2 linked regions of the Arabidopsis thaliana genome follow. The protein of the gene in region 2 interacts with the protein of the main gene of each other region in a pairwise test. Each region holds a gene or a part of one and is shown on either strand. Other genes may lie near its edges.

Region 1 (7,822 bases), on a different chromosome or scaffold from region 2:
CCAATTTGCCAGATATTATATTTGATCTTTCTCTTTCTTTTCACCTACAAAAATAATATCTCCTTTTTTAGGCAAGATATTTTGTTCATTCATGTGCGTCTCTCAAATTAAGATATTTTGGTTTTTTGTAAAGTCAAAGCAAAGACTATTGTTGTGATTGGGCTTTTAAGCCTTAAAGCATCTAAAAGAAGACGCTTTTGAGAATCCAGAATCGGAAAAGTTCCACTTGTGCCTTGTAGATCGCGAGTACGGCTCTTTGTCTACACGCGAGCGCGTGACTTCATACTCATAAAAATATCTTTAGGGTCCTTAGAAAATGGGTTCTTTTGAACTTTTTACCCAATGTTTCTAGAATTATCAGCTTATGTCACATGCCTCTGCCTACATGTCCCTTTGCAGACACAACCCACCCATTGTCTATCCATCTGTTTCTCCTTTTACCCTTCTTCACACGCAGCTAAAGAAGAAATTTGTGGAATCATCGCTTATTCGTTTCAAAAGTCATTCATTTTTGGTGTCTCTGCTTCAGAAGATACTTGACGATCTCTCCTACGTGAGCTCTTTAAAACCCTTGTCTTGTTATTTTAGTGAGGGTTGCTTTGATTCTCAATCCTTTTTGACTGATCTTGAAATGGATCTTCTTTCACTTCTCTCGGATTTGTAATAAGAAATCTATAATTTTTTAGCTCACTTCTCTGATTGGTACATGTTGATCTGAAATTTGAAGTCTTTCTGCGATGTTAATTGGTTTCTCTGATGTCTCTTTTGATTGGTCTTTGATTTAGAACAGTCTCATCCATAGGAAGTTACAATCTTTGAGGAAGAGATGTTTAAAAAGATTGGACTTTTATCTAATTCTGGACTTGCTTTCGATACCAAGTTTCAAGCTTTTGTTAGTTGTTTAATGTATTGTGGTAAGTTTTTTTCCTTCTAAGATTATGATATAAGGGACTAACCAAAATGGTTTGATTCTTTGTTAGTGAAAGGAGCTTGCTTTCTTCAGTGTGACGGTTGAGATTGGTTGAAAGATGGGTTATATGTGTGATTTCTGTGGTGAACAAAGATCAATGGTGTATTGTCGATCTGATGCAGCGTGTTTGTGTCTTTCGTGTGACCGTAATGTTCATTCTGCTAATGCTCTATCGAAACGTCATTCGCGGACTTTGGTATGTGAGAGGTGTAATGCACAGCCAGCTTCTGTCCGGTGTAGTGATGAGAGGGTTTCTCTATGTCAAAACTGTGATTGGTCAGGCCATGACGGCAAGAATTCTACTACTACTTCACATCATAAAAGGCAAACCATCAATTGTTATTCTGGTTGTCCCTCGAGTGCCGAATTATCCTCGATATGGTCTTTCTGTATGGATTTGAATATCTCTTCTGCTGAAGAATCCGCTTGTGAGCAAGGAATGGGTTTGATGACTATAGATGAAGATGGCACAGGAGAAAAATCTGGTGTCCAAAAAATTAATGTAGAACAGCCTGAAACCAGTTCGGCTGCACAAGGTATGGATCACTCTAGTGTTCCAGAAAATTCATCAATGGCTAAGGTATTTTAACATGATTTTCTTCATATTGTGGTAAGATCTTGAAAGCAACTAGCGTCTAAATGTTTCTTATTATTGTACTGGTTGTAGGAGCTTGGAGTATGTGAGGATGACTTCAATGGAAATCTCATTTCAGATGAAGTAGACTTGGCTCTTGAGAACTATGAAGAACTCTTTGGTTCAGCCTTCAACTCATCAAGATATCTCTTCGAGCACGGTGGAATTGGAAGTCTTTTCGAGAAAGATGAAGCTCATGAGGTTTTGTCAACCTTCTTCTTCTATCTGAGACTAGTATCACTAAAGTTAAGGATGATTTTTTTCTGTGATCCTTATGCTCTTTTGTGTGTTTTCTCAATTCAGGGCTCAATGCAGCAGCCAGCATTAAGCAATAATGCATCTGCAGATTCGTTCATGACTTGTAGAACCGAGCCAATAATTTGCTATTCATCAAAGCCAGCACATTCGAATATCTCCTTCTCTGGCATCACTGGAGAAAGTAATGCTGGAGATTTCCAAGATTGTGGGGCGTCATCGATGAAGCAGCTTTCAAGGGAGCCACAACCATGGTGCCATCCAACAGCACAGGACATTATTGCTTCCTCACATGCAACAACACGTAATAACGCTGTTATGCGTTACAAGGAAAAGAAGAAGGCTCGCAAGTAAGTATAAACGCACACAGAAAGGAATTTAATTCATCATTGAAAGTTGTTATAGCTAATATTTAACATATTTTGTATAAATAGGTTTGACAAGCGAGTAAGGTATGTCTCTAGGAAAGAAAGGGCTGATGTGAGACGGCGTGTGAAAGGACGGTTTGTCAAGTCCGGTGAAGCTTATGATTACGACCCGATGAGCCCAACAAGAAGCTACTGAGGATAAAACCTCAAAACAATGAAAGATCACAAAGTGGAGATATAAGACAGAGATGCAACTAATTGGCAGCGATGGATCTGGAAGCCATTATTGGTTGAAAAGGAACACGAGTTCTCCGCCTCAAAAGCGTCATACTTGCTTAGAAAGGCGCATGCTTCTGCAGTTCTGCCTCATTTTTTGCATAAAGTTTGTTATCTTCTTCTGTCATTTGGCATCATGACTTGACTGTGAAACTAGAAACTCTTCTACAGATTCAGGTTCATGATCCTTAAATTTTGTCCTATTATAATTTGTGTAGCCAAGGCAAAACAACGAATGTATATTTTTTTTACGTCATATAAATAATAACCATGTAGAAGTTTGGAGTATCATCACTTCTATATTTACGGTATTGGTTAATGATACTAACAAGTGTATTTTCTAAAAGCGTAACCACAAGAATCACAACCTTTCAGGATCCTTTTGCACTATCAAAAAACTGAATTCATTCATATTGATCAGACAAAATTTGCATGATACAAAGGCAAAATTAAAGTTTGCTCGTTTAACTACTAGTTTAAACTCTTCAGTCTTCATAACTTTCATCTCCTGACAAACCGGCAAAATCATCTCCCTCGCTTGTTTCCTGCGGACAATTCAATTTTAAGTTTCAGATCAAAGAGTATAAATCAGTATGCAAGCTATGTGATTCCAGATTTGTGGATAAGAATGAAGAGATACCTGTTTCTTGTCCCAGTCCTTCAGTTTTGGGTTTGCTAACATGTAATTATCTCGTAGAGGAGCCCAAACAGGAGCTTCGTCTTCAGATTTGTGAGCCTGCACCATCCAACAGAATATCACTAGTTAACTAACCAACAATACTTTAGACTTATAACTAACGGCTCTCGCTACTGAAGGTGATCCTTTCTCTATAGAAGCCAGCTCAAGACAGAATACTAACTTGCTTCTATGTTCATCCAAAGTTGAAGGCTTTAAGAACATTCAAAATTGTTACTAGTAATTTACTAAGAATACTTCTGATTTATAACTAACATCTATCACTCACTCATGAGGTGATTCTTTTCGTGACTCTCTATAGGAGCTAGATCAAGACAGAATACTAACTTGTTTCTACGTGCATCAAACGGCTAAGGAATAAACTCTCAAGATAAATCATAATGAAAGAGAGAGAGTAAGAGATATGGAGACTATGCCAAACCTTGGTGTCTGTTTTTGTTTTCCCTAACTCAGACAAGAATGCTTCTTTTCTTCGCTTCTTCAGCACTGATGGATGTTCCAATAGGATAAAAAACGAGAATTAGAAGATAAGAACAAGACAGTGGATTCATGCCAACGATCAATTTCTAAGCCTACCTTTAGCGTCTTTAGACCTTGAAGGATTCAAACCCTTCTGAGCATGTTGAGCCTTGTTGACCTATTTGAAAAACATAAACTAAGAATCATACGAATCACTACCGGAGAATAAAAACCTCAAAAATAGACATAGAAACAAACTTACAGCATTGAAAAGCTTGACCACTGTGATACCACAAGTTCATGGAGAGGAAAAAAAGAGTCAATACTAAAACAAAAAAAAAAAACCAAACAATCTCAAGAAACAGAGAGTTTAACCAAAGCAACAATACCTCCTTTAGTAGCAACACCAATAAGAATCTTTTCATGAGAATCCAAATAACTTCCAGGTTTAACATGTCCCTTCTCAGCAATCTTAAAAAAGCAATTGTTAAGATAAATCATCATCTAAAACACAAGAACACAAACGAATAGTGAACACAACAACCAAACTCATACCAAATGTTTAGCCTTTCTAGCTTGACCTTTAGCTTTCTTTTCAGCTTCATCTTCAGCTAGCTTCTCTCCAATAAGATGCTTATGTGCTGATAAAACTGGGCCCTATTACACACAACACCAACACAGTTCAACACTATATTCCCAAATCAAAACTCAAAACTAGAATCTGCTATAAAATCTCACCAATGTATCATCTCCTTTAGTCTTCTTCATAATAGCTTTAAAAGCGATTTTGAAAGCATTACATCCATCAGTAGCAAACTTAGTGATTCCAGATTCAATCTCTCCATGATCTTCACCATCTGAATTCTCATCATTATCTTCTTCTCCAATCTCTTCGTAATTTGGTCCCATGTTAGCATCAGAGAAGATCTTCTCACGAATTGTTACTTCTGGTTGTTTCTTCGATTCATCATCTTCTTCTTCATCGTCATCGGAATTGTAATCTCGTGCTCTCTTCTGAAATAGCTTTTGATTCTTCATTGTAACCTTAAACCTATCGGAAGTAGAAGGTTTTGATTTTTGCTTTTTGTTCCTCGCCGCTTTAGTACCTTTCTTAACGCCGACTCTTCTCTTTCTAGAGCCTCTATCTGCCATCGCCATGTGACCTTCTTCTCCGGTAGACATGGCTTCGTCGAGAACTTTGGGTTATCACGGCGGCGAGAGTTTGGGGGAGAAGAGACGAGAGATAGGGTTTTGTTATTGCTTTCTTTAAACCTTGCTATAAGGGAAAATGTTTTCGGATTCTGATTTCCGGTTAAGGTCAGGTTTGTAAGTTGGATTTGGGTTCGAATTTGAGATTTCGGTTTAGGTCGGGTTTTGTCGTTTTGATTTCTATTGATAAATAATGGTTTCCACATGGTTAGCGACTTAGCGTCGGATATAAGATTTGGCCGCGTAATCGGTTCTTGACCAAACTACGAGGCTTGAATGGTTCAAATGCAGACTGCTGAAATTTATGGAAACGGAGAGTTGCGGTTTTAAGAGTTATCATATATTTTAAATGATTGATTTAGCGGTTAAATTTTACGTTTGTTGAAGTTTTATAGTTGGTTAACTAGCATGTGCGATAACGGTAAATACAAAATACCAAAATAATATAATTTATAATTTTAGAAAACTGAAAAACACCAAATTTTTATATTATTATGATTTAATGTTAAAATTTTAAATATAACTAATGATAAAACCATTTTGAGGATCTCAAGCTTGATAAAAAAATTGTCATGAATGAATATGTGTCAATTGATGAAATTTATAATAAAATATTATATTTTTTTACAAAATATAACTAATAAAAAAAAGTATTACATAATTATTCAAAAACAAGTAAATTTCATATTGAAATGTTTATTCATCAATTTGATTCATCACCAAAAAATGTATCATGTAATATGATATACTTCAAACAAATATGTTTGAATAGTAGATATTTCAGATTAACAATATTAGTACAATATTTATATTTGTATCTCGCCTTTTAACAGTTTGATTGACGTCATGATTTTGATGGAAAAATAAGAATTTAGAGTTATGAGAATTAACGTTAACATATAGGGTACAATAAAAAGAATCAGTTTTTACAGTTTTGAGAATTCACGTTACAATTTTTAGAATTTTCAGCGACCTTTAGTTATTAAAAGTATGTTTACTTGCTTTCTTAAATACTTAGGTAAACGTAATGAAAAGAAAAATTATATTTATTCTTTACACAGAATCATATGTAATTTCAGTTCTGTTATGAAGCAAGTTTTTAACCTTTGTGTATGTTCTTCTACGCACATCATACTTGTTCTTGAATTGTTTATCCCATGAATATCTCTTCCCAAATTTTTCTTCAAACTATCTCATGATGGACTCTTTTCCAGTTATATTTAATCTCGTCTTTCTTCTATTCCCTTTTTCCTCAGCAGTACAAAGTTGAAGAAAATATCAACACTCTTCGTCCGACCAATTCTAAATTCAGGAAAAAACATCCAATTCTCAATCATACAATTCTATAACATTAGAAAAAAAAAAGAAACTTACATCATCGTTGTTCATCTTATCAAGTAAGTGACAATCTTAGAGGAAGTAGCAAGTAAGGAACTGTCAATTGCCACTGAAAAAACGAAGAAAGAATGTATGTCAACACAAACTTGTTCCTTTACACTAAGAAACTAACACAAATGTCAACACAAATCTAAATGAAAACAAGAGGATTTGATCTTATTTCTCGTTTGGGTGCAAATTGAAAGTTTAATAAGCGACACAAAAGCAATACAACATGCATCCCTTTGATAAGATTTTAGAAACAACACTTCAGTTCCAGCTCCCAAAATCTGAACAAAATGATTGTGATTTTATACAAAAGTGCTTCAAAGAATTCAAAGTTGTGAAAGGAATAGAACAAAAGAATCCTGATAAAAAGAATAAGTTTTTAATAACTATTTAATCTATTTCGAGATAGAAAATTTGTCTCATCCTGTTCGCTAAGTTTGCGTTTATTTGTTGAACTCAGGTCAAAATTGGGGTTTAAATCAAGTTTGGATAAGGAATTATCGAACAAAAAATAAAAGTGGAATAAAAATCTTTGTCAAACAAACTACAATTAGTAGAGCAACCCAATCATTGTTATAGAAATAGCTCATTAACCCATGTGTTTAGGTTTCCATCAAAACAGATTCATAATTTGTGTGATAAGAAGAAGAGAAGTATTTTTAGGAGTTGCCTCTCGTAGAAGTCTCTTTTTTTTTTTTTTTTGGTGAGATCAATCAAGGAACCACTTTAATCTTGATGACAATCCCAATATTTTATTCTTTTCTATTTCTTGCACAATAAAACTTAACTAACTATCTTATTTTCAATTTTAGATTTTTATGTTAATAAGTTTATATGAGCACAAAAATGGATAAATGTTTGCTACTTATACGAAAGAGATGTCATCATCTAGTCACACATGCATACTTTAAAAATGTCTTGTTAGCTACACTATATATTGTTATAACATACCGACATACACAAATAAATATAAGTTATGTTGCCAATACCATAACCATTCTACTTCGGTTGTCAGAATTATGCGTTGACCGATATTTTATTTTTGATAAACAATTAATAAATAATTATAATTTGCCCTTAAACAGAAAAAAAACTTTGGCCTAACTACAATTTCATTAACTTAGAGTTTAACTTTTGTATCAAGGGAAGGTACAATAGAGAGTATTTAGTAGATTGCTTTTTCGTTCCCAACAACCTATTCCATTTCCAGACAGAAAATCAATCCCCATCCTAATTCACTAAAAAAAAAAATCAATCTCCATCCCATTCGTGTTTGTTAGTTGAATTTGGGTCGTAATTTGGGGTTGAGTCGGATTTTAATAATTGCATATCGAATAAAAATTAAAAATTGGAATCAAAATCTTGGTCAAACAAACTGCAGTTATTGGAACACTTAATCATTGTCATAGAAGTTTGTCCAAAATAAAAACTCATTGTCATAGAAATAACTTATTAGCCCATATGTTTAGGGTTGTCATTAAAATAGATTTATATAGATTTGTATAATGAGAAGAAGGGAAGTTATCTTTAGGAGTTGCTTCTTGTGTTAACTCTCTCTTCTTCTTTTT
Region 2 (7,498 bases):
TCATTTCAGTGTAAAAGAGAAGGCTTTGTGCAAAAGGTAAAAGATGAAGAAGGTGAAGGTTGTAATGTTCACGGTTTCTTGGAAGTTAACAAAGTTGCTGGGAACTTTCATTTCATTCCTGGGCAAAGCTTTCATCAATCCGGTTTTCAATTTCATGATATGTTATTGTTCCAGCAAGGCAACTACAATGTAAGAAAAGTTTTATTTTTGTTTCATTCTCTCTTTATAAGCTCATATTTCAAATGGGTCTTGACTCTATTATATCATTACACAGATTAGCCACAAGGTCAACAGGTTGGCCTTTGGAGACTTTTTCCCCGGTGTAGTGAACCCTCTTGATGGGTAAAAACTCAATTATATAGCCATTACTCGCACCTGTTATCGCTTTTTCAATAATCCTATCTTCTGAAACATTCTCTTGGTTCTCTCAGTGTGCAGTGGAATCAGGGGAAACAGAGTGGCGTCTATCAATACTTCATCAAGGTTTGCTTCATTTGTACATTATATCTATAGACAATGCTCTCACCTGGGACAATAGTTTAGGTACAAAATTTTGAGATTCCTAAAAGGCTCATTATTAGCTCAGGTTACTGATAGAGAAGTACAAAGACATTAATACATTATGCTTGTTGACCAATGCAATAAGAATTTCTTTATCGGTAGCTTTTGCATGCTAGAAAGATTGTTGAGCGTAGGGATAAAGAATGGATTGTGGTGTTGAATTTCAGGTGGTACCAAGCATATACACCGATGTTCACCAGAATACAATACAGTCAAACCAGGTAAATCCCACATCCCCAAATCTCTATATAAAAATCTTTGTCATTTTCTTCTTGTAAAATCTAACCTATGAGTTTTTGTTTTTAACAGTTCTCTGTGACAGAACATTTCCAGAACATGGAAGCAGGTCGCATGCAATCTCCGCCTGGTGTTTTCTTCTACTATGATCTATCGCCAATTAAGGTCTGTTCGTTTTTTCTTTTTCTTTTTCCAAGTCGTGTTCTTAATACCAACGGAGACTATATCTCTAGAAACATTTTAACTTTTGATTGTTGGCTAGGTGATATTTGAGGAGCAACATGTGGAGTTCTTGCACTTCCTAACAAATGTTTGCGCTATAGTAGGAGGTAATCAATATATATATCCCTTCTCCATTCAATTTAAACATACCCTACTGATATGTTTATCATCAAATTCAAAACTAAAATTATACCTTTGATTTGCAGGTATCTTCACGGTATCGGGAATAGTAGATTCGTTCATATACCATGGACAACGAGCAATTAAGAAGAAAATGGAGATTGGTAAATTCAACTGAGTTGTTTGATATTCTCCACACTTTCTTGATCAGCTACTGGAGAATCATCTCTACGGGTTTTACAGTTAGACATTAGGTTTGAATTTGTGACAATGCGATGATTTAAAGAATTTTGTAGTACTGTAAGATATTCCAGGATCTGAACTTTGCCTTTCACTATTCACTATCTCTTCATAGGCAACATACAAAGTGTAAAATGTTGTTATCACCGATTGAAACGAATGTTAATTTTTCCTATTTAATTTGAGCTCATTTGTTTAAAGTGTAGTCTAAATCTGAAGATACCGATCTTGCTTTATGTTATTAAACTAAAGCCTTGTTTTTTTAAGTGTCTACGTTTGTTGATAATCAGAGAAAGTGGTTTCTTAGATTAGCTTAAAGCCATGGATTGAAATACACTAAAGTTGATTCAGGATGCTTCCTCATTTACAGTCTAAGCAACACTTCCAGAATTTAGTTATTACGAGAAGTGAGTTACATGTTTTGTAGATTTAGAAGGAGTTTTTGCAGTTTCATACCAATCAAGTTTTTATAGTTAAGGAATTTAGTTTCTTCTACTTTGATCGTTGTTCTTTTGTGCCAATTTAACTTGAACTAAGAAAATCAAGGAACTACAAAAATTACATAAGAAATCTCACACGGTCGAAGCATGCCAAAAAAAAACAGCTTGGACCGACGCAGAGATTAACACTAATTAACATCAAAGTAGATAAACTTATTTGATATTAACATAACAAACCCCCTTAATAATAATAAAATCTCTGCAATGACCAAAAACTCCATCGCAGAGAGCTCTAAAGTCCCTAAAATACCCCTATGGCAACATCTAATTTACAAGACTCGAACACTGAAGAATCGAATCCCAATCGATCTCGTACGACGGATACTTCTCCAACGCGTTCTCGTTCCACGGCGGCTGAATCTCCTCCTCCGTATCACCAAACGTCAGCTCCGACAACGGCGAAGAAGATCCACCAGATCCATAACTCTCCGTTAACAGCGGCGAAGATCCGGCGCTAGAGTAGTCCTCCTCCGGTAGTTTCACTGCGACGGTTGATGAACGTTTCCGAGAAGAAGACTTCTTCGTTGATCTCACCTGTTTCTGCGTCGTCTCAGCTAAGTTTTGACAAATAGCTTCAAGCTTAGCGTCGACTGATGATTGAAGAGGTTGATACTCGTCGTTATGACGGAGATCAGGGAAATTAAGCCGCGCAAAATCTCCTCGGAGCTTATACGCCGCCTTGTCATAAGCTAAAGCAGCTTCCTCCGCCGTGTCGAATGTTCCGAGCCAAAGTCGAGTTCGATTCCTCGGTAAACGAATCTCAGCCACCCATTTTCCCCAGTGACGTTGTCTCACTCCTCTGTATAGCTTCGTCGGTTTAGCCGCGGAAGTACCGGTTTGTTTCATTGAGACCGGTTTAGGACTAAGATGGTGAGAAAATGAGTGGAGATCCGACCCGTATGAAATTGGAGCGGGTAGAGAGAACGCAAACGCGGATGAATCGTTGGAAGGGCTTTTGATAAAAGGTAAAAGCGCTTCCATTAATTCACCACCGAATGGATCAGATTGTTGAAACGTTTTGTTACTGTAAAAATCCATAGAAGTTGTCATTTCTAATAAAAAGAAATTTTTTTCCCTTGTTCTTGTAAAAAAAGTAAAGAACAGGATTTTTTGTTTTCAAGAAAATCGAAAAAGAGGTTTATAAAATAAAAAACCTCTGTGTAGATTTCTGAGAGGAGGGAATTAAAAAAATACCCTCACAAACGATTAATTCTACAAAGAAAAAAAAACACAAGAAGATCAAAAATAAAAAAAGATTGATCTCTTTAAGAAAATACAAACCAAGAAATCAGTTTTCTTCTATACGAAAGACAGATTACTAACAGAAATGAATCAAAGTAGCGGGAAATAAACAGATCTAAGGGGGATGGATTTGTAAAGAATAAAAGTTAAGGAGAAAACCAGAAAGTATATCAACTTTTTTTTTTGGTTACACTCAAGTTTTTTTTTTTTTTTGTAAGTGAATAACTCTCAGCCTCACCGATACACTTATCTCATTAGCTTGGCTCTTGTTTATATAGGAGGCGTGGCGTGACTTCTTTTTTCCATCCTCCTCATATTTCTCAAATTTATATGTTTAATTAATTTTTTCTTTTGTTATTTTATGTACTATTTCAGATAAGATCATCCATGTTTACGTACTCCAAATAATATATATTCAATTTCAATCAAACATTGTTTGTAAGTTGAGTTTTAACAAGTTTTGTTTTAGAATGGTTAATTTTTACAAGTTAAAATGTTTCTACAAGTTTATTCTATAATCGAAGCGTTTTAATTTTACAATCATAGTTTGATGGAGAATCATTTCATTATATTACATTCACACCGGCTTTATGGGACGTTTCTTCCATAACCATATTAATCTTTTTTCTATTCAAATAGAAGTGAGTGGACGTACACAACTCCATAAATTTTAAAAGATTAGTTAAAAAAATGGTTGTCTACTCATTTAGCTAGACGTCTTTCTAAGCGGTTGAAACTAATGTACACGAGCACTTCGATTCCAGCCAAATTGATAAAATTGAAATCAACATATTTTTACGATTTATTTGGTAGAGGCGTCCAACAATTGGTCCACTAGTCCAGCTAGTAGATTTAGAATTCTTTTGTATATATGCGAAAACAAAACTTCTGAAAATTTTCAATAAAATGGAACTGAGAGAATATTAAGAATGAGATTATCCAAATTAATAGTATATATTGAAGTATATCAAACCGAAAAAGTATAAAAATAATTATTCGGAGGTTCCGAATGTGACACACGTAGACTTCATGATTGTTAAGCAATAATTTTGGCTCGCAATGTAATGATGATATCATGTTAATGAGTGGTTTAGACTTTTATTTAGATAATAAATCATACAAGATTAAAAAAGAAGGGTCTAGAGGGTTAGAATGAATGGCTGAGAACTCCTCAAATGTCAATTCCGTATTATATCATCCATTTAATTAGTTTATTAAACATTTCATCATCTTACGATATCTTATAGAGTTGCATCACTTAATTTATTGCTTCGTGTAATCGTGTACAAATGTCACTACAATCAATACGGCGTCAATTTGCAAGGTTAGACTATGGTGTCATCATTTTATAATGATCAATATTTTGAGGGAAGACGCGCATAAGGAGGTACCACCCATGTGGATGGCTCGTGTCCGTGTTACCAGTTCATCTTTACGATGCTGATTTATCTCGTTTACATGTATTATCATATGCATGTATATTTCGTACTTGCTTGCTTTGGTGAACATTGCATATGTGTAATAACTTGTCTAAGCGTTATTTTTCTTATACTTTGTTATGTATTTTTGATAAAAGTCAACTTTCAGTATTGATATCTACATTTAATGCAAAAACTGAATAAGAAAAAGACCAATTAGCTAGACCATAAATTAACCACTCATATAGCTACAAACCTATAAAACTATGGTTAAACAAATTGTAAAGAAAGAAAAAAAACTCTACGCATGAGAAAAGGGAAAAGCAAGAAAAACTCCAACGCATGATTTCATAACCGTAAGCCGAGCGTGTCCACAGGGGAAATGAAATAGTCAACTACAAAATCATTACTCAAGTCTTAGCTGTATGTAATAACTGACAGCTTTTTGCTGCCTATTTTTCTCCTTTTGAATTTTTCTTTTTATTCAAAATCATATATATATGAAAATTGGCCTACACTCTCCATATAAATGATACATCATCACACAAAAAAATGACATGTGTCATTCTATATTAATTAAATAAAAAAACTAGCAAAACTAATTGAGAAAAAATTAAAAGTCTTTTGTTGTGTTAATCTCACTCTTAAATGAATTTTCTAAAAAACATTCGATAAATAAAAAGTCATAATAATGTACCAAGCACTACTTTCATTTTATTCTACTTATTTTATTAAAAACATTTAATCAATAATCATTAATCTATAATGGCTAAAAATTTACTTGTGTTGTAGTTTAGATGTTTGCTACCTAACCTCATATTAATTTAGTAATTTTAGTTAAATATTTTATTATTATTATATTTTGTGAATTTGATTTATCATATGAACTTCTTTCGGTACATTTTGTGTGTTAAGATAATTTTGTAACATTGATATATAATTTTTTCACGTAATAGTCATCCTAGACATTAGACATACCAAAAAAACAACAACATGTGACTTTATATGATTATATGGTAGGGATAAGAATTAAAATGTTGACTTAAATTACTAGCATATCAGGATGTGATTGTGTACTAGATAACGAGATAATATATGGAATAAAGAATTGTTTGTTACAATTAAGTTAGACAAGTTTTAAAATACATAAGTAATATAACTACTTATATCAGTATATCATTTACTGTTATAGTATGTGATCATGATAGTGAAATATTAGAATAATAAATATATAAATATTCATATTGTAGTTGAATTGATATTTTGAGTTATAGATGAATCTAATCATAAAAAATAATAATTATATTAAATGGATGAATTTATCAAAATGAACATCTTTTTTTTTTGTCAAACAATCAAAATGAACATCAAAATCAACAAAAAACCATAATCATATTTTTCCGACAATTTTAAAAACAAAAATCGATGCGTAGCATGGGTGTTCATCTAGTTTATTTAAACAATAATACTTTATTAGTGTACTCTCAAGTTCTCTGACATTTTTTTTTTATTGGGGGCAAATGAAATGACTGACATTTTTGCATTGTTGTTCCTTAACTTGTCTATAAAAGTAGTTGTTTGATAGCTAGATTCACTGCATCTAAATCAAGTAATATAATAGTACATACATGTCATTTTTAGGATTTTTGAGAAATATTTGTAAATCGTAAAGAAAAAAGGTAGATCCGATTTGTGACTAATTTGGTCGAAAAGAAAAGAAAAGAAAAGAAGGTGGATCTGATTGGATTTTTGCTTTTGGTATGAACTTTTGCAATTTAATGCTCATAACGCGGTTTCCGTCAAACGCGTCCGTTTTATCTGTCGAAGTCAAACAACCGTTGCGAATCTGCCACGTGTTCACCCTCAAAGGTCCATTTTGTACTGTTTATCTGACTAGCTCACCTTAAAAGGCTTATTAAACTCCACGTGTCTTTTTGACCTCTTGACTTTGAATGATCTTACTAGTTTACAATTGTATTTTCTCACCTAATTTAATTAACACTAATACGTAAAATGAGAAATATACTCACCTAATTTTAATTTATATTAATGCATAAGATGAGAAATATAGTAGTAGTAGAACAAGTTGGTAAAATACAAATGCATGTGAAAATGCGTGTATTGGGTGAAGTGAAAGTAGAGAAAAATAGATTTGCTAATTTATTTTTCCTTTGGTGATATCGAAAGGAGGGTGTCGTTGTTTTTCGATCAGTTGCACGTTGTTCTACGAGGGAAAGAGGAATTGCATGTGGATTTTAGGTGAATTGTCTCCGTTAATTTTTGCATGACATATGGCCATTGCAGACTATTTATTATACAAAGCTTATGTGATTATGTCGTATGTTTTTGTACAAGATGGTAAGAAAAAAAGCTTCTCAAGGATGTATTTTGTTCTCATTAATGGACTTTTTACGTTGTATTACAAAAAAAACACCAATAAACAGAAACGATAAATCATACTCCATAGTATAGGACTCCTTCCGTAAACGTGCTTAAAATATACAAATTGTTATTTTCGTATTATTAAATATATTTTCTAAATTCGAAAATTTGAGAAAAAAATATATAGTTGTGTATCCATCTAAATACATGTCATTTGCTAATGCATTTCCTTGATATGTTGAGCTTTTGGCATAAAAAGACTTTTGCCATTGTTGCTAAACACTTGTTGCTTTCCTTTACTTTTGTGCAATCACGTAAGTCCTGACCATCTACCTATATTTTTAACCGATTAAATTTAGGTTAATCTTATCATTTATCCTTAAAATATAGAGTAAATTTGGAAAAATACCCTCTTTTTGTTTACACTTTGAAAAATACTTTTTCCTTCATTTTTACTTTTAAATATGTAAAATCAAACTTAATAACGACTAATAATATCTCTATTTCAAATATCAAATCAATTTATTTGTAATAATTAAATATTTCATTTTTACAAAATCTTAATATAACTAATAA

Evidence for each region. Proteins that work in one complex are often made in the same cells at the same time.
Region 1: the proteins of AT1G22190 (region 2) and AT5G48240 interact in a two-hybrid assay, tested with the Arabidopsis thaliana proteins (one large-scale study listed by BioGRID).

Annotation. Positions count from the first base shown.
Region 1 is NC_003076.8:19,556,320-19,564,141, reverse strand, and holds AT5G48240 (Rrp15p protein), read right to left. Parts: upstream 4,900-7,822; 5' UTR 4,842-4,899; coding exon 4,398-4,841; intron 4,317-4,397; coding exon 4,215-4,316; intron 4,131-4,214; coding exon 4,049-4,130; intron 3,942-4,048; coding exon 3,922-3,941; intron 3,838-3,921; coding exon 3,777-3,837; intron 3,687-3,776; coding exon 3,622-3,686; coding exon of another isoform or gene 3,551-3,621; coding exon 3,465-3,550; exon of another isoform or gene 3,370-3,464; coding exon 3,315-3,369; exon of another isoform or gene 3,240-3,314; coding exon 3,144-3,239; intron 3,049-3,143; coding exon 2,989-3,048; 3' UTR 2,867-2,988; downstream 1-2,866. Other genes in the region: BBX8 (B-box type zinc finger protein with CCT domain-containing protein), read left to right, coding at 1,029-1,550, 1,638-1,805, 1,908-2,209, 2,294-2,423.
Region 2 is NC_003070.9:7,831,677-7,839,174, reverse strand, and holds AT1G22190 (Integrase-type DNA-binding superfamily protein), read right to left. Parts: upstream 3,395-7,498; 5' UTR 2,931-3,394; coding exon 2,145-2,930; 3' UTR 1,764-2,144; downstream 1-1,763. Other genes in the region: AT1G22200 (Endoplasmic reticulum vesicle transporter protein), read left to right, coding at 10-189, 275-342, 432-483, 729-782, 871-963, 1,061-1,127, 1,227-1,318.